7 linked regions of the Rattus norvegicus genome follow. The protein of the gene in region 5 binds, or shares a complex with, the protein of the main gene of each other region. Links are inferred from orthologs where the notes say so. Each region holds a gene or a part of one and is shown on either strand. Other genes may lie near its edges. The genes, in order: Nup85, Ranbp2, Cetn3, Nup98, Nup188, Nup214 and Nup107.

What was found.
Region 1: Nup188 (region 5) and Nup85 share a complex: the UniProt entries of both Homo sapiens proteins name them as parts of the nuclear pore complex. The link is inferred for Rattus norvegicus from reciprocal best matches to the Homo sapiens genes NUP188 and NUP85.
Region 2: Nup188 (region 5) and Ranbp2 share a complex: the UniProt entries of both Homo sapiens proteins name them as parts of the nuclear pore complex. The link is inferred for Rattus norvegicus from reciprocal best matches to the Homo sapiens genes NUP188 and RANBP2.
Region 3: Nup188 (region 5) and Cetn3 share a complex: the UniProt entries of both Homo sapiens proteins name them as parts of the nuclear pore complex. The link is inferred for Rattus norvegicus from reciprocal best matches to the Homo sapiens genes NUP188 and CETN3.
Region 4: Nup188 (region 5) and Nup98 share a complex: the UniProt entries of both Homo sapiens proteins name them as parts of the nuclear pore complex. The link is inferred for Rattus norvegicus from reciprocal best matches to the Homo sapiens genes NUP188 and NUP98.
Region 6: Nup188 (region 5) and Nup214 share a complex: the UniProt entries of both Homo sapiens proteins name them as parts of the nuclear pore complex. The link is inferred for Rattus norvegicus from reciprocal best matches to the Homo sapiens genes NUP188 and NUP214.
Region 7: Nup188 (region 5) and Nup107 share a complex: the UniProt entries of both Homo sapiens proteins name them as parts of the nuclear pore complex. The link is inferred for Rattus norvegicus from reciprocal best matches to the Homo sapiens genes NUP188 and NUP107.

What each region holds. Positions count from the first base shown.
Region 1 is NC_086028.1:101,308,435-101,311,934, forward strand, and holds part of Nup85 (nuclear pore complex protein Nup85), read left to right. Parts: intron 1-1,120; coding exon 1,121-1,191; intron 1,192-1,434; coding exon 1,435-1,478; intron 1,479-3,500. UniProt on the Homo sapiens protein: Essential component of the nuclear pore complex (NPC) that seems to be required for NPC assembly and maintenance. As part of the NPC Nup107-160 subcomplex plays a role in RNA export and in tethering NUP96/Nup98 and NUP153 to the nucleus.
Region 2 is NC_086038.1:27,016,314-27,019,813, forward strand, and holds part of Ranbp2 (E3 SUMO-protein ligase RanBP2), read left to right. Parts: coding exon 1-3,500. UniProt on the Homo sapiens protein: E3 SUMO-protein ligase which facilitates SUMO1 and SUMO2 conjugation by UBE2I. Involved in transport factor (Ran-GTP, karyopherin)-mediated protein import via the F-G repeat-containing domain which acts as a docking site for substrates.
Region 3 is NC_086020.1:13,823,591-13,827,890, forward strand, and holds the start of Cetn3 (centrin-3), read left to right. Parts: upstream 1-1,500; 5' UTR 1,501-1,588; coding exon 1,589-1,605; intron 1,606-3,135; coding exon 3,136-3,271; intron 3,272-4,300. UniProt on the Homo sapiens protein: Plays a fundamental role in microtubule-organizing center structure and function. As a component of the TREX-2 complex, involved in the export of mRNAs to the cytoplasm through the nuclear pores.
Region 4 is NC_086019.1:165,930,367-165,933,866, forward strand, and holds part of Nup98 (nuclear pore complex protein Nup98-Nup96 proprotein), read right to left. Parts: coding exon 3,414-3,500; intron 326-3,413; coding exon 1-325. UniProt on the Homo sapiens protein: Plays a role in the nuclear pore complex (NPC) assembly and/or maintenance. NUP98 and NUP96 are involved in the bidirectional transport across the NPC. May anchor NUP153 and TPR to the NPC.
Region 5 is NC_086021.1:34,002,812-34,006,311, forward strand, and holds part of Nup188 (nucleoporin NUP188 homolog), read left to right. Parts: intron 1-314; coding exon 315-384; intron 385-676; coding exon 677-744; intron 745-1,189; coding exon 1,190-1,385; intron 1,386-3,500. UniProt on the Homo sapiens protein: Component of the nuclear pore complex (NPC), a complex required for the trafficking across the nuclear envelope. Required for proper protein transport into the nucleus.
Region 6 is NC_086021.1:35,655,879-35,659,378, forward strand, and holds part of Nup214 (nuclear pore complex protein Nup214), read left to right. Parts: intron 1-177; coding exon 178-329; intron 330-2,250; coding exon 2,251-2,449; intron 2,450-3,031; coding exon 3,032-3,102; intron 3,103-3,500. UniProt on the Homo sapiens protein: Part of the nuclear pore complex. Has a critical role in nucleocytoplasmic transport.
Region 7 is NC_086025.1:55,281,410-55,285,636, reverse strand, and holds the start of Nup107 (nuclear pore complex protein Nup107), read left to right. Parts: upstream 1-1,427; 5' UTR 1,428-1,495; coding exon 1,496-1,503; intron 1,504-3,471; coding exon 3,472-3,563; intron 3,564-3,967; coding exon 3,968-4,054; coding exon of another isoform or gene 4,055-4,079; intron 4,080-4,227. UniProt on the Homo sapiens protein: Plays a role in the nuclear pore complex (NPC) assembly and/or maintenance. Required for the assembly of peripheral proteins into the NPC. May anchor NUP62 to the NPC. Involved in nephrogenesis.

The sequences.
Region 1 (3,500 bases), on a different chromosome or scaffold from region 5:
CGAGGAATCAGAATTTGTTTTGCTTCCTTTGAGCGCCCAGCTGCTGAGCCACGTCACTGGGCCTGACCTCCAGGCTAGGATTTGTTTTCCTTTCCTATTTATTTATTCACTTATTTCTTCGGTGTGTCCTTTGCTTGAGCTCCGTAAGTAGATGAAGGTGAAGCTGGGTCTCCTCGAACACCCGGGGTGTGCTCTGCTGACTCAGCCTGTGTGTGTACAAATCTGTGTGTGCTCTGCTGATTCAGCCTGTGTGTGTACAAATCCGTTGTATTCTTGAGTTTCTGGTCCTCTTGCCTCCACTTCTCAAGCTTGGGATCATGGACACGGCTGCCAGGTGTGCTTTCATCAGTGCTTGGGAGCATTGCACTCCGGGCTCTGTGGGGCAGGCATTCGCAGTTGTGGAGGAGCAATGGAGAGCTGCATGCTGCCTTACTGCCTGTGGTTTGCTGGGTCTGCTCTCTTTTTTTGGGGGTGGGGGGGCTGGGGACCGAACCCAGGGCCTTGCGCTTGCTAGGCAAGTGCTCTATCACTGAGATAAATCCCCAACCCCTGGGTTTGCTTTCTTACAGCATCCAGGACCCCCAGCTAGGGGTGGCCCCCCCCATATCGATTACCAACTGAGAAAATATGCCACAGGCCTGACTACAACAGCAGTGCTTTCAGCCTGAGCCGTCCATGCAGACCAGGCGTGGTTTATGTTTAACTGTGTGTGTGTGTGTACACATTGTGCAGGTACCTGTAGAAGCCAGGAGATGGCATTGGATCTCTTGGAACCAAAGTAGTTGTGAGCCACCTGATATGGGTGCTGAGAACTGAACTCTGGCCCTTTCCAACAGTACTACGCTCTCTTAAAATCATTGTGACAGATCTCTAGCCGTTTGTGTGTGTGTGTGTGTGTGTGTGTGTGTGTGTGTGTGTGTGTGTGAGTTTATATATACTGGAGCACTTCACATCTCCTGAAACTGGAGTTGCAGGTTCATGTGAGTCACCTGATGTGGGGATTGGGAACCAAATCTGGTTGTTCCTGCAAGAACAGTCCAGCCGTCTCCTTTTGATTCTTCTCTTTCTAGCATCAAGATATGGTCGATGTCATCTCCTATGTCATTTCATTTTTTTGTAGATTGGTTCGAGTGAGTAAAAATTACCGGTCAGTTATACGTGCCTGTATGGAAGAAATGCACCAGGTTGCAAGTAAGGACCCTGTGTATAACTGAAGTACATTGTCTGGTGCTGTTTGCTCCAGTGGCCTTTCAGGAGGCTGCTCTGCAGTGTGTAACAGGGCCTCGTTTTGATATGTGATAGATGCATCAGTGATCACATGGAAATGGGGGTGGTGGTGGAAGAAACAGCAGGAGTCATGAGAGGTCTGAGGGCAGAGGAGGCGGGATACAGTCAGTTCAGTTGATTGACCTAAGGTGTTTTGTATTCTGCTAGTTGCTGCTAAAGACCCAGCCAGTGGCCGGCAGTTCAGCAGTCAGGTAAGAGGTAGCTGTTCTCATTGTATTGGCAACATTGTGGTTTTTGTGTCCCTAGTGCCTAGGGTGGCTTTGTGGTCACTGTTACAGGAGGCTCTCCTTTCGAGGTGGACCAGCAGCTCTTTGGGATGGCAAGTGTGGCTTTAAAAGTTGGTCTTCCCGTCAAGGTCTAGCCCGTGGGAACACAGGATCTACTTGATAAATACTGGGTTTTCATTTCCTGTGGAAAGATGAGTCCTAACACGTGGTGTTTGTGAGTTGTCATGTGAGATGGAGAACCGAGCTTTTAGGACTGCCGCTCAGTCTCATGAACTCGACATTTTGCTGAGCAGCAAGTGGTTATAATTGAGCAGGGCTAGAAGTTGACATATATGACACTCTTTCCTTAGTAGGATCCCAGTGCTTTTCTAACTAATGATCAGGGGACAATACACTGTCTCTGATAGGCACAGTGTGTTTTTCCCTTCGAGCAAGGGCTGGTGATGACTGAACTGAAGGAGGGTGACGTGGGGATGTCCATCTTCCTAAAGGCAGGGTCCAGGTCTCCTTTATCTTAGTGGGAGCATCTTATAGCAGCCAGCCTTTGCTCTTTCAGTTTTTGCAGTGCCTGGTCTTGGCTCTAGTATCGTAGGTGTGCTAAGTATGTCCACTGTTGCTGGGCTAGAACCTCAGTCGATGTCTCCTGTTAAAAACATATCTGTATTGCGTGTGTGTTTATTGAGTGTGTGTGTGCACAAGTGCACCTGTGCATGCAGAAGTGCACCTGTGGAGGCAGAAGACGGTGCTGAATGTCTGCTCTCACTCTGCTCATTCTCTTTGAACCTGGGGGTTGTGCTTCTTGCCTAGGCTGGACGCCAGCAAGCTTGGGGACCCTCCTTTCTCTGTTCCCTTTGTAACTCAGGCCTCAGTGTGCTCAGGTCTCCAGCTTGTTACACGTGTGCTGCCACCCAAACTCTGCTTCTCATGTCTGCACAGCAGATTCTCTTTTTTTTTTTTTTATGAACTTGAGTATTTCTTATATACATTTCAAGTGTTATTCCCTTTCCCGGTTACCGGGCAAACATCCCCCTCCCCTCCAGATTCTCTTAACTACAGAGCCATCTCCTGCTGTCTGTTGTTGTTGAGACAGGGTCTCAGTCTGTAGCCCAAGCTGGCTGTGGTCTTGTGTTATCTTTCTACTGTAGAAGCTTGAATGCTGGCTTTACAGTATAAGCTACCACACCTGGCCCTGGTCTCTGCTTTTGTTTTTCTTTTTCTTTCTTTCTTTTTTTTTTTTTTTTTTGGTTCTTTTTTTCGGAGCTGGGGACCGAACCCAGGGCCTTGCGCTTCCTAGGCAAGTGCTCTGCCACTGAGACAAATCCCCAACCCCTTGTTTTTCTTTTTTAAATTTAACTTTTCTTTTGTGTGTAGAGGTATTTTGCCTGCATGTCTGTGCATTGTGTTGTGCTGTTCTTGCAGAGGTCAGAAGCAGGTATCATGGAACTGGAGTAACAGATAGTTGTTGGAAATCAAACCAAGGCCTTTTGCCAGAGCAGCCAGGGCAGCCAGTGCTCTTCACTGCTGAGATCTTCTTTAGCATCTGGCGCAGCCTTTAATAGCCTCTTTCCTAAGTTTCAGTCCTTGGCATATGGACTAACTGACTGACTGACTGGCCTATCTACCTAAAGTCCTGATCCCCTCCATTCCGAGTGCTGGGATTACAGGCCAGACAGGCATGGAGCCCTTGGTGCTCCTGTCTAGGTCTCCTGGGTGCCAGGTTTAAGGTGTGTGGGCCACTGTCCTGGTTCTAACTTCCCAATTTTGTTTTACTTTTCTTATTGACAGACTTTCTCAAAATTACCTTTTCTTTTTACTCAAATGAGGCGCCTTCTTAACCCACAATCCATCAAGAGCATCCGTGTGATATGCTAGTTTACTTTTCTAATTCACCTTAAAATAAAATCACCAGTGTTAGCATTCTGCAGGTTTTTATCTCCCTATCTGACATCTTCTGCTGGGCTGCCTGGTGGGAACTCCTGCTGTAGG
Region 2 (3,500 bases), on a different chromosome or scaffold from region 5:
TAACTCAAATTTCAAATCAAATGACGGTGACTTCACATTTTCATCACCACAGGTAGTGACACAGTCTCCTTCAACAGCTTACAGTAACAGTGAAAGTCTTTTAGGTCTCCTGACCTCAGATAAACCTTTACAAGGAGATGGCTATAGTGGACTAAAACCAATATCAGCTCAAACTGGTGGGTCTCGGAATACATTCAGTTTTGGAAGCAAAAGTACACTTACAGAAAACATGGGCCCAAATCAGCAGAAAAATTTTGGTTTTCGTCGAAGTGATGATATGTTTACTTTTCACGGTCCAGGAAAGTCCATATTTACAACACCTACTTCAGAACTGGCAAATAAAAGTCATGAAACAGATGGAGGAAGTGCTCATGGAGATGAAGAGGATGATGGTCCTCACTTTGAGCCTGTGGTACCTCTTCCTGACAAGATAGAAGTAAAAACGGGTGAGGAAGATGAAGAAGAATTCTTTTGCAATCGTGCAAAGTTGTTCCGTTTTGATGGTGAATCCAAAGAATGGAAGGAACGTGGGATAGGCAATGTAAAAATACTAAGGCACAAAACATCTGGTAAAATTCGCCTTCTGATGAGACGAGAGCAAGTATTAAAGATCTGTGCAAATCATTATATAAGCCCCGATATGAAACTGACACCAAATGCTGGCTCAGATAGATCTTTTGTATGGCATGCCCTTGATTATGCAGATGAATTGCCCAAACCAGAACAGCTTGCAATTAGATTCAAAACTCCTGAGGAAGCAGCACTATTTAAGTGTAAATTTGAAGAGGCCCAGAACATTTTAAAAGCCTTAGGAACAAATGCCTCTACAGCAGCAAATCATACTCTTAGAATTGTCAAAGAACCTGCAACTCAGGATAACAAGGACATTTGCAAATCTGATGGTGGAAACTTGAACTTTGAATTCCAGATTGTAAAGAAGGAAGGGCCTTTCTGGAATTGTAACAGCTGCTCGTTTAAGAATGCTGCAACTGCTACGAAATGTGTATCATGCCAAAATACAAAACCAACGAATGGCAAAGAGCTCCTAGGTTCACCATTAGTTGAAAATGGCTTTGCTTCTAAAACTGGCCCAGAAAATGTTCAAGATCGATTTGCATTGATGACTCCAAATAAAGAAGGTCACTGGGATTGCAGTGTTTGTTTAGTAAGAAACGAACCCACTGTATCTAGGTGCATTGCATGTCAGAACACAAAGTCTGCTAACAAAAATGGGTCTTCCTTTGCTCAAACTTCTTTCAAATTTGGCCAGGGAGATCTTTCTAAGTCTGCTGACAGTGACTTCAGGTCTGTGTTTTCTAAAAAAGAAGGTCAGTGGGATTGCAGTATATGCCTAGTCCGAAATGAAGCAAGCTCTACAAAATGTGTTGCTTGTCAGAACCCAGCAAAACAGGCTCCTGTCTCATCACCTGCTTCTTTTAAGGCTGGCACTTCAGATGTAAGTAAAACTTCAAAGAGTGGATTTGATGACATGTTTGCTAAGAAAGAAGGACAGTGGGATTGTAGTTTGTGCTCAGTGAGAAATGAAGCAAATGCTGTAAAGTGTGTTGCTTGTCAGAATCCAGTTAAACCCAGTTCATCTACCACTGTTACAGTACTTCCCTCTTTCAAGTTTGGTACCTCAGAGATGACTAAGCCTCCCAGGAGTGGATTTGAGGGCATGTTCGCCAAGAAGGAAGGACAATGGGATTGCAGCTTGTGTTTTGTCCGAAATGAAGCAAGTGCTTCTCAATGTATTGCTTGTCAGAATCCAAATAAGCAGAATCAGCCTACATCTGCTGTATCAGCTCCTGCCTCTTCAGAGACAAGCAAATCTCCAAAGTGTGGTTTTGAAGGCTTGTTTACCAGAAAGGAAGGCGAGTGGGAGTGTACTGTTTGTTCTGTACAAAATGAGAGCTCTTCCCTAAAATGTGTGTCTTGTGATGCCTCCAAGCCAACTCATAAGCCTATTGCAGAAGCTCCTTCAGCTTTCACAGTGGGCTCAAAGTCACAGTTAAATGAATCTGCAGGAAGTCAAGTGGGAACAGAATTCAAAAGTAACTTTCCAGAAAAGAATTTTAAAGTTGGCATATCAGAGCAGAAATTTAAATTTGGGCATGTGGATCAAGAAAAAACACCCTCCTTCACCTTTCAGGGTTCTTCTAATACAGAATTTAAGTCAATCAAGGATGGATTTAGTTTTTGCATTCCTGTATCTGCTGATGGGTTTAAGTTTGGCATTCAGGAGAAGGGAAATCAAGAGAAGAAGAGTGAGAAACATCTTGAAAATGATCCTGGTTTCCAAGCTCATGATACTAGTGGTCAGAAGAATGGTAGTGGTGTGGTCTTTGGTCAGACAAGCAGCACCTTCACCTTTGCAGATCTTGCAAAGTCAACTTCAAGAGAAGGATTTCAGTTTGGCAAGAAAGACCCTAATTTCAAGGGATTTTCAGGTGCAGGAGAAAAATTATTCTCATCACAAAGTGGCAAAGTGGCTGAGAAAGCAAATACTTCTGATCTTGAGAAAGATGACGATGCCTATAAGACCGAGGACAGCGATGACATCCATTTTGAACCAGTAGTGCAGATGCCGGAAAAAGTGGAACTTGTAACAGGGGAAGAAGATGAAAAAGTTTTGTATTCTCAAAGGGTGAAATTATTTAGATTTGATGCTGAGATAAGTCAGTGGAAAGAAAGAGGTTTGGGGAACTTAAAAATTCTCAAAAATGAAGTCAATGGTAAACTAAGAATGCTGATGCGAAGAGAACAAGTACTAAAAGTTTGTGCCAATCATTGGATAACCACTACGATGAACCTGAAGCCTCTCTCAGGGTCAGATAGAGCATGGATGTGGCTAGCCAGTGATTTCTCAGATGGCGATGCTAAACTGGAACAATTGGCTGCAAAGTTTAAAACGCCAGAACTAGCTGAAGAATTCAAGCAGAAATTTGAGGAGTGTCAAAGACTTCTCTTAGACATTCCACTTCAGACACCCCATAAACTTGTAGATACTGGCAGGGCTGCTAAATTAATACAAAGAGCTGAGGAAATGAAGAGCGGACTGAAAGATTTCAAAACATTTTTGACAAATGATCAAGCAAAAGTGACTGAGGAAGAGAACACAAGTTCAGGTGCAGATGCTTCCAGTGCCTCAGACACTACAGTCAAGCAAAACCCTGATAACACTGGGCCCGCCTTAGAATGGGATAACTATGACTTACGGGAAGACGCCTTGGATGACAGTGTCAGCAGCAGCTCAGTTCATGCTTCTCCATTGGCAAGCAGCCCTGTGCGGAAAAACCTCTTCCGCTTTGGTGAGTCAACTACAGGATTTAACTTCAGTTTTAAATCTGCTCTGAGTCCATCTAAGTCTCCTGCCAAGTTGAACCAGAGTGGAACTTCAGTTGGCACTGATGAAGAGTCTGATGTTACTCAAGAAGAAGAGAGAGATGGACAGTACTTTGAACCTGTTGTTCCCTTACCTGATCTAATTGAAGTATCCA
Region 3 (4,300 bases), on a different chromosome or scaffold from region 5:
TGGGTAAAAGTCCTGTACTCGTCAGAATTAGACATTGTGATTAGACTCTGTTCCCTCTCATGACCCATTTTAACATTATATCTCAAGGTGTGGATTCTAATTTGACTCGTAGACATCTTTTCCCCTATTAGGTACCATATTTATGGTTTCAGGATACCAAGATGTAGCCTTAGCTATTATTCTACCTATCATACCACTATGATCTATGTACAGCCTCCAGAACAGTCACTTATGAATCACTGGTAATTGTACAATGTTTAACTTAACTTCATATCTGTGCACTAAATAGTTAACATTAAATATTTAAGAAATAAAAGTACTTAATTTTATATTTTAGGCAGAGTCTCACTACTAGTCCTGGCTGGCCTGGAATTCACAATGTAAAGAACTCAGAGATCCGATTGTATGTCTATTGGGTGCTGGGATTAAAAGTATGTAGCACCACGCCCAGCAAGTTCTTCATTTCTCTACTTTGGTTTTGGGAATGCTACCATTTAGCTATTACTTTTTAGTTCTATCCCAACTCTCTAGTCAAATTTCTATCTACACTCCAGGCTTAACTCATACACAGCCAATTACCCAGTGTCCTTCCTTCACATACAAATTTAGATATAGTATTTCCCTTTTCTAACACCTAGCCCCAGTTTATTGTATTTATGCCTATAAGAACTGCTTGGTTAGCTCAGGAGTTTCCAAGTTTTCCACAATAAGACTTCGTTTTACGCATCAAGTATTTATGGAACACCTAAGTTCCAGATATTTCATTTGGTACAAATATTCGTGTAAACGGAATTGTGGCCTTGAGGACAGTCGGTCTAGCAGCTTGGTGATCGAAGTAAGCTTCAAGAGGCTTGGTGGGGAGTGGAGATAGAATGCACACACAAGGTTTACAGCACTAGAAAGTGAAGAGCAGAAGCAAACAAATACATTGCAAGTCGCACAGAAGAAAAGGATGGTTTAGGTAGTCTCACTGTACATGACCTAACAAAACAACAAAATGAAAAGACTAATCCAGTCTGCCTTAAAATCACTTGGGAAAGCTGTACGGGGAAGAATGCTTAGCTTGGTCGTTACTGAACTAAGATTGGAGAACATCACCTTTAGATTTAAGTTTCTCGGGTGTACCAGCCACCCAGAATTGTACATCTTTTTGTAGACCTGGTTCCTCAATCACTGCTCCGTCTGAGCAGGCTGCTTGTGCCGTGCCTTCTTCCCCTTCCTTCGGTCGACGCTGTGCACGCGTGCTCGGAACTCCAGCACCATGTCACCCGTAGAGCCTAGCCTTGCCTGCCTGAACCCCGCGTGGTGACTTAACAGGCGCGCAAAGGATTCAGGAAAGCATCTGGCCAATCCAAGGGGTCAGACAGACAGCAGGGCGAAATGTGTACTTGACTGACATGAATGCTGACCAATGGAAACAGAAGACAATCGACGCTTCCGCCCCAATGGGCCGGCTGTTGGCAATTTCGGCCAATCGCACCCAGAAACTTCTGTCAGGTGGGTGGTCCCCGAGGCCGTGGAGGTTGGTGGCTGTTGAGCGGTTCTCGTGGTAAAGTCCTTGAGCGGAACACCTCTGTCGGAAGAGAAAATGAGTTTAGCTCTGAGGTCGGTAACGAGGAGGCCGCGCCTCCGTTCCCCAGAGGGGCCAGGGAGGGCGTGGAAGGGAGGCCGAGTCGGGAGCGGACGAGGAGTGCCGAGCATCAGACCTCGGCGGTCCCCGCCTCCCACAGCGCCGCTCCCCGAGTGAAGTCTCGCGAGGTTTCCCTCACGCATCTGCGGGTTTCGGGCCTGGCCGCCTGCTTCCTCCGGAAAGTCACAGGAGAGCTCGCCTTTCTGCCCGGGTCCCGTGGCACGCTGTGCTTTGGGCGTCCTGGGTGGATCTCGTTTCCGTGACACCCTCCAGTCACTTCCGGACATCCCCCCTCCCCATTGGCTCCTCACCCTGTCCATCTACACTTAAAGGCGCCCCCGGACCGCGCATTAGCCTGGGGTGGGTGTGTGGCGAGTGTGTGTGTGTGTGTGTGTGTGTGTGTGTCCGCGCATTAGCCTGGGGTGGGTGTGTGGCGAGTGTGTGTGTGTGTGTGTGTGTGTGTGTGACCGCGCATTAGCCTGGGGTGGGTGTGTGGCGAGTGTGTGTGTGTGTGTGTGTGTCCGCGCATTAGCCTGGGGTGGGTGTGTGGCGAGTGTGTGTGTGTGTGTGTGTGTCCGCGCATTAGCCTGGGGTGGGTGTGTGGCGAGTGTGTGTGTGTGTGTGTGTGTGTGTGTGTGTGACCGCGCATTAGCCTGGGGGTGTGTGTGTGTGTGTGTGTGTGTGTGTGAGCTGGGGTCACGTGAGAAAGATTCCTGGCTGCCACCGTCACCCGCTCAGCACTGATCTCCCACGTCTGGTCCACCCGGAGGGCGTTCCTGACGAGACGCTGTTACAGTCAGCCGAGTTTTAAGATTTTGAGGTTTTAAAGCTTCCATCTTTTAAAACGTGCTGATACACGTGTTGTGTCGTATCCTCGTTTAAACATTTGGACTGCTTTTTGCATTGGCAGCTCTTAAGGCAGACATTTTCAGATCCAAGTGCCCTTTTTAGATTTCCTTTAAACTTCAGAGTTTTTAAATGAAGACGTCTAACCTATCGTTTACATGTTAAGTGAGAGTTAAAACACTTTTAAACATCACGTCGTGGACTTAAGCACGAGTATTAGATGCTGCGATTCTGGGCGCCTAGTATTTGCATGTTTAGGCCCTTTAATAGTTTGCCTGGCTAATATCAGTGGAATAAAACCACAAAGCACTGTTAGAAATGTATAATCTAAAAACATTTTGGACTTAGAATGCTAAAGTAATCTTTTAAGTTTTATGGATGATTTTTGTAGTAATTGTGAGTTGGTTGTCATTTGTGAATTTCACTTTTGTATGTTTTTTTTTTTTGGTTATTTTTATGTTCTTGGTAGATGACAGGAATAATATGTATGATGCTTTCAACTTTGATTAGGATTTCGGTTATAAAAGTACATTTGGACTACAGGACGTTAACTTAGGCTCAGTTTCTTTATGTGCCAGACTACTCTGTTGAAATTTAGAAAATGATTCTTTGTCCTAAGTTGGGTTAAAGTAGACTAAAGGCATTTTTCTGTGTCCTAGAGGTGAGCTTGTAGTAGACAAAACAAAAAGGAAAAAACGAAGAGAACTCTCTGAAGAACAGAAGCAAGAAATTAAAGATGCTTTTGAACTGTTTGATACCGACAAAGACCAAGCCATAGATTATCATGAATTAAAGGTAACAGGGTATTTAAGATCCATTTTTGTTTAACTCAATTGCGTTTGTGCCTGTTGCTTTAAAGTCTACTTTAGAAGCTTGTTTCAGAACTGTGAGGCTGTTTGTAGTGCCCACCCACAGGTGCTACAAGAAAACGGAGTAAAAATGGAGTATGGCTTCTAGAACCTTGTATTTAAGTGTAAGAGTGCATCTTGATGGGAAGTCTAACTTTTCCATTCACCCAGTAAAGGGACAGTTCTTAGCATGTTCTTCCTACAGTTGTTTTCTTCTGTGTGATGATATAGCTCAGATTTTTAACAAAACAAAATTTTTTGGCATATGCATGTGCCCCTGCTGGCCTGTACATCCCCTTGTGTATCATGTGGTGGGCAGAATAGGGCCTGTGTATCTTCCATCACTCTACTCCACTGCCTTGAGACAGGCTATTTCCCTGAGTTGGAAGTTCAGCACTTGAGAGTGAACTCTGGGGATCGCTGCTGTCTCCACAACTATGCCTGTCTTTACATGAGTGATGGGGATTTGAACTCTGGTCCTCAAGATTTTAGGGCGAGAACTCTTACTGACAGTTTTGAAATGGAGAGATCATTGACTTTGCTCAGACATTTGAGATTGACTTTTAATTTTTAAGATAATACTAGCACACTCTTAGAGTACACTCTTCTCTGTTACAAAGGATATAAATTGTCTGATGCCTAATGTTGCTACGTGCAGAAGGAAAATGTCCTACCCAAGGCTTTAATTACTAGTAAAGAGGGAAGGGGAAATTGGTTATGAACACATTTCTCACGTTCAGCCTAGTAAGAAGGATCACATTTTGATCTCTTTAAGTACCCTTAAAAGTTCATTTAGTAGTTTTAACATTATAGGGGTAGAATCTATGTAGCGAGATGATAGACTATTTAAAAGTAATAATAGACTTTGAAGCTTTGGCCTCAGTCTTGAGGTCCTCCTTTAGCTCATTCCCTAACCCACTGTTCTCTTGCTGCTGCTCCCCTCCTCCACATAGCATGAGTTCTTCCTGTCCAGTGT
Region 4 (3,500 bases), on a different chromosome or scaffold from region 5:
AGAGTCCAGTTGGGACCCCAGCCAACCCGAAATGAACGTCCCATGAATAAGGCCATGTCCATCAAGAGTTTTCCCTTGCCATATGTAATGGATTTTTCAAGAGGGACTAGGCCTGGTTGCCTGCGTATCCCCACTGTTTTTAGGGGAACTTCAGGGGCTGGGCTGGGCACTGTGAACACAGTGGCCAGGGGTAGAGGGACAGACCAGGGGGATGTGGATGGGACGTTCATTAGAGATGATGTTCTGGGTGTGCGACATTCTTGCACGGAGGCACTTGGTGAAAGAAAAGTTCCACTTGCAAATTTTGATTGGAGCAACCCACCAACTGAAACAAGGAGGAAAAGACACTTAACAACCCAGTTTGCTTCTTCGCTAAAGATGAAAATTTTCAGACAGATTTTTATAATAATCACTTTTCTTTGAAGACAAGTAGCCTAAGTCCTATGAAGACCAGGCTAGCCTCAAGATTATTCCTCCTGAGTGCTAGGATCAAAGGTGTGCACTAGTTGTTTTTCCAGATAAGATTATTCTGTATAACCTGGCTGTCTTGGGACTCACCATGTAGACCAGGTGGGCCTTGAACTCTGCCTCCTGAGTGCAGGATTAAAAGTGTGTGCCACAATATTTATATAAAAATTTTAAATTATGTATATGTTTGTGGGTATGTCAACAGGACTGTAGCTGCCTGTGGATGCCAGGTGTCCCACGTTCTGGAAGCTGGAGTTACAGGTGGGTGTAAGCTGCCTGATGTGGGTGCTAGGAACCAAACTTGTGCTTTCTCTAAGAGCAGTATAAGCTCCCTACCACTCAGCCATCTCTTCAGTCCACAATAATCACCTTTTCAGCTACGAAATCAAAGCAAGGACTTTAATGATTTTATAAAGGAGAAACAAAAACAAGAATCTTCAAGGATTAACAACAATATTAAAGACAATTATGTGTACACTTCACTTTTCAGTAACATTGATCGGGAAGTGTTATTGCTGCTCACATTAAAACTGAGGAAACTGGGCTTAAAAAGGGGGCCTTTCTAAGTCCATGGCACTATCAAGTGACGAGACTGGGTAAAACTGTTCCTAAGGGTCATATCCTTACTGAAATCCTATATGCAATAAAACTATCTTTAAAATGATGGATGCAACTGGAGACAGCAATTTACAGAGAACTAGATCAGTTCCAAAAATACAAATATTGCATGTTTTCTCTAATTTATGGGTCTTAGATATTGCACTTTCCTGATATTATTTATGTACTAATGACATGAAAGTAGAAGAAAACTTGTATGGGGACCAAGAAAAAGGAAAGGGTAAAGTAAGTAGCTATAGGGGATGGAGACTGAGCTAAAAGGACATTGTAACGGCTAGAGAGAAGGCAGCCCATCAGTTAAAAGCACTTCTTACTCTTGCAGAGGACCTGAATTTGATACCCAGTGCACACATGGTGGCTCACAACTTTACTTTCAAGAAATTTGACACTTTCTGACTTTTATAGGCACTGCATGTACCTGCCTTACATACTTGCATGCAGAGAAAAAAAATCAATACACAGATAAATCTAAAAATTTTGAGGATATTATATTTGCACAAATATAGCCTTATATATAAGTAAAATACAAAAACAGCTGGGGGTGGTGGCACATGTCTTTAATCTCAGCATTCTGGAGGAAGAGGCAGGCAGTGAGTCTGGGGTCAGGCTACACAGAGACCCTGTTTTGAAAACCCAACCACAAAAACCCCAAAATAAACAAAAACCCGAACAAAATAAAACCACAAAACTCAGATAGATTAAAACTGAAGTCCTGGGCTGGAGAGGTGGCTCAGCGGTTAAGAGCACTGACTGCTCTTCCAGAGGTCCTGAGTTCAAATCCCAGCAACCACATGGTGGCTCACAACCATCTGTAATGGGATCTGATGCCCTCTTCTGGTGTGTCTGAGGACAACTACAATGTACTTATATATAATAAATGAATAAAATCTTAAAAACAAACAAACAAACAAAAACAAACAACCCCCCCCCAAAAAAAAACCCCGAAGTCCTGACATTATGAACTTAAGGAGAGGTAAGAGGACAACTTTAGGGAGGTGGTTCACTCTCTTTACAAGGTGGGTCCTAAGAATCAAACTTGTATCTTTACCTGCTCAGCCTTCTTGCTGTTCCTTATTTACCTTTTCAGAAAACATTAACAAAATTTAGTTCTTCAGCTTTCAAAGTATTTTGAATTACAATTGCCTACTCACTGATATCAATACTCCACAACCTTTTTTTTTTGACATTTTTCAAGAAAAAAAAAAAAAGTTTTTCTGCCTGCATGCCCGTGCACCATGTGTATGTAGTATGTGAGGAGGCCAGAAGAGGGCACTGTGTATCATGGACTGGAGTCACAGATGGTGTTGAGAACCCAGACTCACTGGAGAGCAGTCAATACTCCTAACTGCTGAGCCATCATCTCTCCAGCCAGTACTCTATAAAGTATAATCTGCAATCCTAGTAAGAAAAGGGAAAGTTTTAAAATTTAATATGTGATTACCCCACAGGGGTTTTCAAAGGTTTAGGGAAAAGTAGATACTTGAAGTTTACTATCAAAAAAAGCAGTAAGATAATGTAAGGACTAAATAAAAGGAACATGGTCAACTTGTGGAATCTAAGTATTGTGGTAGAGTTTAGATTAGAGCTTACTATGTAATCCACACTCACAAGTGACTAAAACAGGGCTCTCACTCAATGAGACAACTTTAGGGAGGTGGTTTACAAGTGGTTTCCCAATAAAGAGGTACTTATGATGCTTAAAACCCTGCCATGTCAGCACTTTTACCTTTTCTGTTTTAAAATGTGTGTGCATGTGTGCATACATGGAAGTCAGTGGACAACTTCAGGAAGTAATTTCTCTCCTTCCACCATGTGGGTTCTAGAGATCATCAGTTCATCAGGCTTGATGGCAAGTACTTTTTATCAGCTAAGCTAATTCACTGACCCCACCCCCCTTTTTTAAGAAATTATTTAGTATGTATGCCTGAGTGCTTAAGTGTATGTATATGTATATACACCATGTGTGTGCCTGGTGGCCAGGAGGCCATAAGAGGGTGTCAGATCTCTTGAAAATGGAGAAGAGAGGGTTATTAGCTACCATATGGTTTCTGAGAACTAAACTGGAGTCTTCTGCAAGAACAAGTATTCTCAGCTGTTGAGCCAAGCTCCTTGGGTCCTGCTATGCTGTTCTGGGTAACCTCAAATTCACAGCAATCTCCCTGCCATAGATGGTAGGAAGAGGATAGTATGTATTTAAAAAAAAATTATGCCTATTGTTATAGTTTTCAGAGGTTCTGCTAAAGAAATCCATTCAGCTTAGAAGGAGAAATATGAAAAGCAGAATCGAGCTGACAGTGTCCTTGGAACCAGCACATTTTATACTGTACCTATGGAGCGGGATTTTGAGGAGTGGGAGGCTGAAATGGGGAGTCTAGGGGAGCAGATCTCCTGAGCAGTGTCTCCTCTGGAAGGGA
Region 5 (3,500 bases):
GGTTGGTTGGTTGGTTTGGTTTTGGGTTTTTTGAGGTGGTTTCTCTGTGTAGCCCTGGCTGTCCTGGAACTCACTCTGTAGAGTGGGCTGGCCTCTGCCTCTTCCTCTCACGTGCTGGGATGAAAGACTTGTGCAGCTACTGCCTGGCTCCCAATTGCACTTGTTAAGTGGAAGATGCAGTTTTATTTATGGACTTTTTATGTTTACATAAGAATAATTGATTTATGAGAAACATTTTAGGTTTGGGATATTAAAGCATGAAAAAATACCAGCATGGGGGACCAGAGGCATCTCAACACGTGTTTTTATCCTAGACCCAGGTTTTGGGAGAATTTAACGAGTCCGCTGTTTGGAACTCTCTCTCCTCCTTCAGAGACATCTGAGGTGAGCTCTGTGGAGGGCAGGGCAGAGGCATTAAGGAAAGGACCCTGCCTCAGGTTACAGCAGCCCCATCTGCAGAGCAGTGCTTGCCTCCTGTCCTCTGGGAAACAGACGGACATGGCTGCTCTGTTGCTCTAGCAACTCCACACTGGACACGGCGCCCTGTCCAGTGGCCTCTGCCTTTCGCTTCCCAGGAAGCAGAGTTTAATGTTTTCTGAGCGTTAGGCCCTTTCTGGCACCAGGTGGGTGTGGAGGTTTGTTACATGTGATTGGTGTGTTTTCCCTCCCTCCACAGCCCAGCATCCTGGAAACCTGTGCCCTCATCATGAAGATAATATGTTTGGAGATCTACTATGTAGTTAAGTGAGTCCGTCCCCCTTCCGGGGGTGTTGTTGTTGTTGTTATTTAGTACTAGGGCTCAAACTCTGGGCATTTTCATGCTGAGCAAGTGCTTCACCAATGAGCCATGTCCCTAGCCCCCTCCCATGGGATTTTAACCAAAGATGGGGGGGTGGGAGATGGTGGGGACCTATCACAGAATGCGTGGTCGGTAAGCAGGGCACACAAGAGGATGGTCAGGCCCATTTATGGAGGGTCAGTGTCCTGACCAGGGCACTGGTGGCATTTATGCTGTCAGAAGAGTTGTGCAGTAGGTTTTGGGTTGCTGGGATTTGATGGAGTTAGAGGCTTTTCTGAAAAGGCCTCAGTTTCGCTCGTTCCTTGGGACCTGACCCTAGAGCTGGCTGCCATGTGCCCATCTCAGCTCCATGCACTTCTGAACCCTGACTCTGGTTTGTATGTTGTATAGGGGTTCATTGGACCAGTCATTAAAAGATACACTCAAGAAGTTTTCCAGTGAGAAACGCTTTGCCTACTGGTCGGGGTACGTCAAGTCTCTGGCAGTTTACATGGCTGAGACAGAGGGCAACAGCTGCACGTCCTTGCTAGAGTATCAGATGCTGGTGTCCGCCTGGAGGACGCTTCTCATCGTTGCTACCAGTCACGTAAGCCTCCCAGCCTCCTGGCTCTGCTTTAGTGGGAAGCGGTGATCTGCTGAGCTGCCTAGCTCGTGCAGCTCCTAGGATAGTAAACCAGAGTTCGTCCCTGAAATGCAGACACTGTACGCCAAGAGATGAGGATGGGCAGGCTTGGGGACAGGACACAGAAGCAGTTCCAAACCCGTCAGATAGCCTGAAGGATAGGTCTAGGGAGCACCTTTGCCCCTGGGGCTGTGCCTTCTGGATGCTGTAGATGTCTGTGATTCATCTGAGGCTGCAGCTGCGGTAGGCCCAGATCTCTTAGAGTGCTGTGTTTTTCCGTTGGTTCTAGGAAAAGGACGAAGGCCATTGTCTCTTCACTGTATAGTGAGTCTTAAAATTTTTTACTTATTATTAGTGTATGCACATGTGTGGAGGTCGGAAACAGATTTGGGGGTCAGTCCCACCTTTATGTGAACCCCGGCCATCAGGCTTATGCAGCAAGTGCCTTCCTTACCAGTGAGCATAGAGAGAAAGCTGGTGTTTGGGAAGAGTTTGCACCATTCTTGGCATCTTTCGGTTTGGCACTGTTTGTTTTGCTATAGCACGTGGTGTTGAACTGTTCTTCCTCAAGGCATCTGGACCTTATCTTACTTAATTACAATTGGACCTTGGCATGGGTCTCCTCATTCCAAAAACCTTGCCCATCTGTCTGACTTGTTCTCCAGCATGCAGTCTGCCTTTAGACCCCTGAGCCTGCAGACCACTGCAAGGCTTGCCTGTCTGATAGGGGAATGTCCATGTTGCTGCCTTTCGAATACAACAGTAGCCTGGGGCGGTGCACAGCCTTAATCCCAGTACTCGCTGTGCAGGCAGGTGAATCTCGAAAGTTCCAGGCTAGCCTGGTCTACAGAGTGAGTTCCAGGACAGCTAGAGCTACACAGTGAGCCCCTTCTCTAGGGGAAGAAAAGGAGTTCAAGCAAACAGCAGTTCTTAAGTTGTACCTCTGTTCTCTGCCTTCTGGAAACTGACCTGATGAACCTTAATTCCCTCCCTCCCTCCCTCCCTCCCTCCCTCCCTCCCTCCCTTCCTCCCTCCCTCCCTCCCTGCCATGACTACTAAAATATTTGTTCCATACCTGCAGGCACCAGAGATATTATAGCTGGACTTTGGCTGCTTCTCCTCCCCTTTTCTTCTACCCTTCCAACCCTGTAACACTAGATAGGAGAGAGGAAAGGATAGACAGGAAAGAGATCCCTGAATAAAAAGTCAGGGGTCAGACAGGAGGCAGCATTATCATTAGACTACTTCCTGCTGATTAGAGGCATACAAGTTCCTAGGGGCAAGTTTGATCTTTGCCGTAGAATATCTGATTTCTTCTTGTTGTTTCTTCTTTACACACGACTACCCAACAACCCACCTATGGGACTGTAGCATTTATATGCCCTCTGAAAAGTCCCCAGGATTCCCAGTGTCCCACACAACTGCAGAAACTATCTGCAGTTGTCAAACCTTAACCCTGCCAGACTACAAGGCAAATCGTAGTCAGGGGCTGTGGACTCTCTGAAGTACCCCCATATTCCACACCTGGGAGTAAAACAAAAGCACATTCTTAAACATTTCTGTTTGTTTAAAGAAATCAAAACTCCAGAACTATCGCTACAGGATAAGCAGTAGTAGGCAGGGAAGCCTGGTCACATGGTGAGGACAGCAGGAGAAAGATGGCCCACCTGCAGAATCAGCTAACTCTGCTCCTAGAGCCTCACAGAGACTCAGCTCCCTGCTTGGGATCTTTTTCCTGGTGCCTCAGTTGCCTTTCCAGTCTTGATAGGAGAGTTTCTAATTAGTCTTAAAGCAACTTGTTATGCTGTGCTAATTGATATGCCTGGGAGGGAGGCCTGCTCTTTTTTTAATGGAAATGGAGAAGAAGGGGGGAGGAGGACTCAGAGGAGTTGGGGGGAGGGGCTTTTGTTGTGACGTAATGTATGAAAGCATGGGGGGGAGGGGTGCTGAGCGATGGTGGTACATGCCTTTAATCCTGGCACTCCAGTGGCAGAGGCAGGTGGATCTTTGAGTTTGAGACCAGCCTAGTCTACAAAGTCAGTTACTGGACCACCAGGGCTACATAGAGACACTATATGT
Region 6 (3,500 bases), about 1.7 Mb from region 5:
CTATAGGTAAAATGGAGTCTGAATTTAAAATGGCAGTTCTTAAGACAAGTTCTTTTATCTATACCCAACAGGTATATGTTTACATAGATGAAAATGTGTTTCAGGTTGACTTGATTAAAGGATTATGACTGTGCCTATTACACTCTGTTTTCTGCTTTGTGTTTTTTGCTTTCATAGTTGACACAATCCAAGGCTTGAATGTCCCTATGAAATTCCCAGTTCATCACCTGGCACTGAGCTGTGATAACCTTACACTCTCTGCGTGCATGATGTCCAGTGAATATGGCTCCATTATAGCCTTTTTTGATGTTCGCACATTTTCAAATCAGGTAGGCTACTGTAAACTGTATTTTCAACATGGAAGCAGGAATTCCCTCATGGGCATTGCAACTTGGAAGGTGTATAAATCGATGACATGGCTGCTCCATGCTGTGGTGAGGGGGAATGTCGTTATTGTAGATATAAGACAGCAAACTCTCAGAGGAATTTGGCAGCGTCCAGAGCAGAGAGAGAGCGCAGTAGACTGATGATGGCCATCAGAGTGGATGTGGCCAGGATCTGTGGAAGAGGAGACCAGCAGGAACTGGAGAACAGAGACAACACAGTGAGGCGAGGTGGGGAGCCTGGCAAGAGTAGCAGGCTGCAGTGAGAATGAGTAGCTGGGGAGGGACCCTGGGGAGCTGGAGGGGATAGAGTAAGGAAGGAGCATGGACTCTGATGGGTACTTGTGATACAGAAGGAGCCTGGAGGCCAGCATGAGCGTTGAGATGCTAATAGACTATGTCCCTTCAGATGAAGGGACATGACTCCTTTTGGGAGATGGGAACTAGTTTACAAGTTCCCAAGGGAGGCTGTCCTTTATCTAACCACCAGCAGTCCTTCTCTAGTCCAGGTTGAGCTCATTCTGGATAGAGGAGACAGTCTTTTGGAGTTTGGAATTGGAGTTTCCTTTGGACCAAAAAGCTGTATTTCAGGTTAATGTGTGAAACCTTTCTGGATTAAAATAGAGGTTACGGGGTTGGGGATTTAGCTCAGTGGTAGAGCGCTTGCCTAGCAAGCGCAAGGCCCTGGGTTCGGTCCCCAGCTCCGAAAAAAACAAAAAAACAAAAAAAAAATAGAGGTTACAAAAATACTCCTTGAATATAGACTCATAAGTTTTTGAGATAGAACTATTTATTTTAGTAAATTAAAATTTTTCCTGTACAAAGTTAACATGCCTCATTTACACACAAGGCTATCAAGTGATGAGGCTTCTTAGAGATTTGCTTTGTGAGAAGCCATGGAGCTAATGGTGAGAGGGTCGAGGGTCTGCCCATGTGATGTAGGATCTCCTGATGTTGGATTCTTTGGTCCAGGCAGGTTGTTCAGTAGCAGTGTAGAACGATGGTCTTCTTGGGATTAGGTATTTTATGATGTGTTTTTTTCCCATGTTTTCCATAGTAGAGACAGTTGTCTTCATTTTACAGATGGAAAGGCAGATTTCAAAGAGATCTACATGGACAAGCATGCTGGCACACACTGATGGCCTCTAGGTTGAAGCAGGAAAGCAGTGAGCTTGAGGCTAGGCCAGGCCATGTAAACCAGAACCTGCTTCAAAAAACAAAACAGGGGTTGGAGAGATGGCTCAATGGTTAAGAGCACTGACTGCTCTTCCAGAGGTCCTGAGTTCAGTTCCCAGCAACACATGGTGGCTCACAACCATCTGTAATAGGACTTGATGCCCTCTTCTGGTGTGTCTGAAGACAGCTACAGTGTACTCACATACATTAAATAAATAATATATATTAAAAAAACAGAACAAATAAAACATCTCACCAAAGACCAAGACAGAAATCAAAAAGCCTAGCTAAGGTTATTAAGAAGCAGATCCGGGGTTGGGGATTTGGCTCAGTGGTAGAGCGCTTACCTAGGAAGCGCAAGGCCCTGGGTTTGGTCCCCAGCTCCAAAGAAAAAGAACCAAAAAAAAAAAAAAGAAGCAGATCCAAGAATTTAGTGTTCTACCTGCTATTTATTGACTCTTGCATTTGCATATCCCTGCCAGCAGTCCCTCTGTGCTGGAGTACTTGGTGGCCATTTCTAAGTTTCATTGATTGTTTGTAACAAATAGATCGCTATACAGAGTTGGTTATGAAGAAATAAAGAGCTGGATTTAAGAAAGAATGCGTACTCCATCATTCCCTCTGAATCCTAAATGCCTTTGTGTTTATTAATTTATTAATTTATTTAGCATCTGGGCTCTTATTTTAACAGGCTAAACCACTGAAACGCCCATTTACCTATCACAAGCTTTCAAACGGTGCCAGCGGGATGGTGAATGATATGAAGTGGAACCCCACTGTCCCTTCCATGGCAGCAGTTTGTCTGGCTGATGGCAGCATTTCTGTCTTGCAAGTTACGGATGTGGTGAAAGTGTGCGCCACACTTCCTCCTTCATCGGGAGTCACGTGTGGTGAGTAAGAAGCAGCTCTCCAGCCATAAAGTACAGGCTATTAAAAATTAACTTCTGCATGTAAAGTGGAAGGCTTTGAATTTTGTGTGGACCGCTGGGGGGTGGAGAGTGGGTAGAAATTGAGAATATTCTTTATTTCTATAGTCAGTGGTCTTGAAGCCCCACAGCATGCGTGAGTTCATTTGATGTGTCTGGGCTATCGAGATAAAGAAGTATTTTGGCACAGCTCATTTAAGACTGAGAATAATTGTTTCTGAGTCTAAAAGAGCGGCCATCTGAAAGTCATTTGTACCTCCATAAAGCACTAGAAGTAATGAATAGAAACAACACAGTGATTCCTTGATCTTTTAAAGACACCCACTCTCCTTGTCTTACAAAAGTCTGCTGGAGAAGCATTCTTAGCTCTCAGTTAGCGGCCTGCTGGGAAGTCCTGATTTGCTTGTATTGTTAAAGTGGTTGTACTTTCTCCACTGTGCCTGGGGATCTCTCATGGCCTTTCCTGGTGGTGATCGTATAGCCGTCTAGACCTTAGGGCTTGCTTTCTTTTCTTGGGTGTTTTAATTGGCAGCATTTCCTCCCCAGTATGCTGGAGCCCCAAAGGAAAGCAGCTGGCCGTGGGAAAGCAGAATGGAACTGTGGTCCAGTATCTTCCTGTGAGTGACTGCTCTGCACGGGAACTTCCCATTTAACCACTGTTGAGGGTGGTTGGGGACATCTCGGTGGCTTCCTTTCTTTTGTGGTATTAATGAGCAGTTTAGGAATATTTGTGTTAGAGTGCTTGCCTGGCATGTGTGAGGCCTTGTGTCCAATCCTTAGCACTACAAAATAAATAAAAAGTAATTTATCTTCATTATACTGACTCTGTAAATGGAGAAGATTGACTCTGATCTATCCCTCATTATGTCCTTCCAGTGATGCCACAGTTGTGAGTGGCTCCATCTCCTCCCTTTCATGGATCTCATCCAGTTCACCCATTGGACGCGCATTGTTTCTGTTTTCCTTTAAAGTGAAATGTGGCCTACGCTAGGTACTATTCCTTCACTTCACAATC
Region 7 (4,227 bases), on a different chromosome or scaffold from region 5:
GACTGCTCCATTAGGGACAAGGGTTTTAATGTGAGTGAGAGCGCAAAGATCCAGAGGCACCTGGAAGTGTCCAGAACAGAGAAAAGAGAAACAAACTGGACACAGCCAGGGCTGGGGAAGCCAGAGATAGGAAAAGTCTCATTAGCAGGAGATAGGAAGTAGCCTGGGGGTCAGCACAGAACACACCAGGACACCAAATTCTCAGCACAAAGGAAAAGGTGTTCCCTCCAGGTCTGCCAAAGAAAGCAGCAGGTTCCTCTGCAGGAGTGGTCTTTAAGGAGAAAAGACTCTGTTAGGGTGAGTTGGTAAGTCCTGAGTGGACACATTAGCCAGTTAGTGGATTTTGATAGTTGGACCTTGGAGTTTTAGTCAGGCATAAGGGGCCAAATAAGGGAAGAGACCTTGGTGGGTAGGTTTAGGAATGTAATCTAACGGTTTAGCAAGGGAGAGGCTATGGGAGAGGGTCACACCTGCTGGTGTTGTGTCTGCAATGCCTGGGCCTGTTAGAGCACTTCAAGATAGTTTTGTGATCGAGATGAGAGAACAGAACATAGAAATTAGTGCAGAGTCGGGATTGTGAGGTCAATAGCTAAGAAGACCAATGGAAAACGCGTTTCACAAAGTCCTGAGTAATGCTGGCTTTTATCTAACTGCCAGAAATCCTATGGTTCAGCTAGAGCTCATTTCTAGACATTTGGAGGGCCTGAGACCTAACACTCTGAGGTGCTGGAATGAGTAAGTATCCTCACCCCCAAAACTTTTAAAATTTAAAATAATAATAATAATAATAATAATAATAATAATAATAATAGTAATAGTCAGGCTTTCTTAGTGCAGGCTTGCTTCAAAATCATGGTGATCCTCCTGCCTCAACTTCCCCAAATGTTGGTATTACAGGCCGTGAACCCATGTGGTTTTTTTATGCTTTGCTCTTTTTGGATTTCTTTTAAAAAAACGGCTGATACTGTAAAAGAGAAATAAATTACAATAGGAAACAACCTCAAAACCCGTCCAGTGAGGCTACACCACAGTTTAGGGAAAGAGACGAGCGCCACGAGCCAGGCCAGATCCTGTAGAGTGGCGCAGAACCGCAAACCGGAACGCTGAGGCCAGACTCTTTACAACAAATTCCTCAGTCCAGGTTACAGATTTCCGGCTTCCCAGAAGGACGCCCCCACCCAGACCACGCCCACAACTCCCTCTCCTCACCACACTCAGACTCCGCCCTCGTTCCCGCCCCCTTCCTGCCTGGCAACACCGCCCAGCCACGCAGTCACGCACTGGCACACTTCCGCGCCTGCGCCACTGGACCTGCGACAGTAGACGAAAGTTGCGCATGCGCCGAATAAGAAAAATTCGTTCTTTGGGGCTGGCTTAGCCAGAGCGGTGCTTCCGGGTCGAAGGGTTTGCTTCCGGAGAGCGGGAAGGCTGAAACGCGGTGGCTGGACTGTAATCAAAGTTGCAAGGTTCTATCTAGGTGGAGACGGCTGCGGCCATGGACAGGTCAGTCCTGATGGGGACGCCTCGGCCAAGACTGTGGCTCTCGCCTGTTAGCGACCTAACTACCTCTGCTGGAAGCGGAGGAGGAGCCGAGGTCTGCCCATTCAGTCATTCCTTCACCCTGCCAGGATTTGGCCCCTGGTGGAGGGATGGGCGCTTGACGTGACTGGAGCGGGGACGCAGAGAATGCGTATCCCCGCGTTCCACCCCGCGCCTCCGGGGTCTCGTCGGCGCTCGCTCCTCGCCGTTCGCTCCGAAGTGTGCGGGGTCGGTGGTGGTCCGGCATTCGAAATGCTAAGTGAGCAGTCCGAGGTCACAGCCATCAGCCACTCTTGACAGCTCAGTCTCCAGATTTTCTGAGTGGTTTTATTGTGGTTATTATTTCGTATCAGTTGTACATTATTGGGTATCATGGTGGTCAGCCTAGACTTTTAAAGTGCCACCACCAGGTAGTTAAATTTCTTATGTGATCAGGTGATTTGTGCCCGCCTGAGACAAAGATGGGTTGTTCAAGGCACTTGGCATTGGAGAGTAGATCGTGTAGTGAAGACAGCCAAGCAATGTAATACGATGTATTATGCTGTACTGCGGGGAAAATAAATGAAGGAGACGTTAAATTCCCCCTGTCGTGGGAGTTTCAGGGAAACCTGTAAAGTAACTTGCTAGCTGGTCTTTGGAGTAATAATAGCATATTGACACTGAAAACATTGTGCTAGGGTTTAATCTTATGTGTGTTCCTTAAGCTTTAAGTAGCACATTTAGTTTTAAACAATCCCCTGAGGATTTTATCTATTCAGAACAGTGAGCCTGTAAGAGATTTAAGGAACTACATAGTTAAATAGAGCCAAGTTATGCGGCTAGGGATATAGTGTCATTCTTTTGTTAGAGAGCAGTAAGCCTGTGAGAGATTAAGGTACCAAGTTATGGGACTGGGAATACTGCTCAGTGGTGGCTCAGTGGTTAAGTGCTTGCATAGTAAGCCTTAGGTTCTGGGGAGAAAAAAAAAAAAGAGCAAAGAGCAAGAGAGAAACAGATTACCAGCTGGGAATGTTATATCTCCATAAAGCTGTTATTTAACTTAAGTAGATGTACATCAGGTGACAGGGGAACAAATATAGACCTCTGTAAAAGAAACATACTCAGATATAAAGTCATGAAAAATGTTCATGCTTGTGTGGCTGAATGCTCACAGCCGTATGTCTGGACGAACATCGTGGGCCAGGCTAAATTGGGATGGAATTGTAAATATTACACTGGAAAGTGTGAGTTTCAGTCTGTAAGGCAGAGGAAGCTAGCGGGAGATTTCAGGTGGAAGAAAGGTATACTAGAAAAAAAGCTACATGGTTTAGTTTTTTTTTTTTTTTTTTTCTTTTCTTTTTTTTCGGAGCTGGGGACCAAACCTAGGGCCTTGCACTTGCTAGGCAAGCGCTCTACCACTGAGCTAAATCCCCAACCCCCATGGTTTAGTTTTTTTTCTTTTTTTTTTTTTTCTTTTCTTTTTTTTCGGAGCTGGGACCAAACCTAGGGCCTTGCACTTGCTAGGCAAGCGCTCTACCACTGAGCTAAATCCCCAACCCCCATGGTTTAGTTTTTTTTTTTTTTTTTCTTTTTTTTTTCTTTTTTTTTTTTTCGGAGCTGGGACCAAACCTAGGGCCTTGCACTTGCTAGGCAAGCGCTCTACCACTGAGCTAAATCCCCAACCCCCACGGTTTAGTTTTTAAACCATCAGATGACAGTGTTGGAGACATCCTTAGTCTACATGGAAAAAAATTACTTGAAGGGTTCGTAGCTGAACACTGGGTGGGATTTTGGGGAATAAACAGGACTTAGAAACAAGAGGATATTGTTGGGAAAATATAGAAGACTTGCCTGTTGGGGTGAGCTGTCCTCTGACTGATTCAGATCCTTTGCTCTAACTGTAACGATAGTCCTTTGAAGATGCCATCTAAGAGATTATTTATACTATTGTAGGAGTGGCTTCGGGGGAATGTCATCCCCTGTGATCCGAGACCCAGAGGTTACGAGGACTGCACGGAAGCATAGTGCTCACAAAAGAGTTTTAAGTATCCTTCACGTAAGAATTATGCAGATTGCAGAGTGCCTGGGATCTTCCAGTCATTAAACATTATCTGTGACAAAACTGGCTCACCTCCACTGGTGTTTTACTTGCTACATCCATGCTCTCCGTGATCGTCCGTGAGTTCAAGATGCCTGTTTCTCTGAAAAGCATGTTCTGCTTCACTACCAGTATGTCCTAGTAGTCAACTAGAGTCAAAACTTATTATCTAACACCCACCTGAGAACTTAAATGATAGATGGATTTAACAACGGTGTACAGAAAAGGTGGTACCCATAAAATGCTTTGTTCTTGGAGAAATGTATTCATGTATATTGTGTAGTAAATCTGTGCTTAACTTTAACGACTTTTTTTTCTCTGCATGGAAAACTTTCCTTAATTCTTCCTAAGTTCAGGCCAACCAAGATGAAAATTTTGGTACTACTACACCAAGAAGCCAGATTATTCCTCGAACTCCAAGCTCATTTCGACAACCTTGTAAGATTTCATTTATGCTTTGAAAGTATTTAATAATAGTAGTCATAATTCCAGCTGGCATTTATACAATTTCCTAATAGAATATTTAGCTACAGTATGAGGAGTTAAGCATAAATAATAACAGTTCCAGTTATCCAAACGCTTATGAACAAGGAACTGTACTTTACATCAAC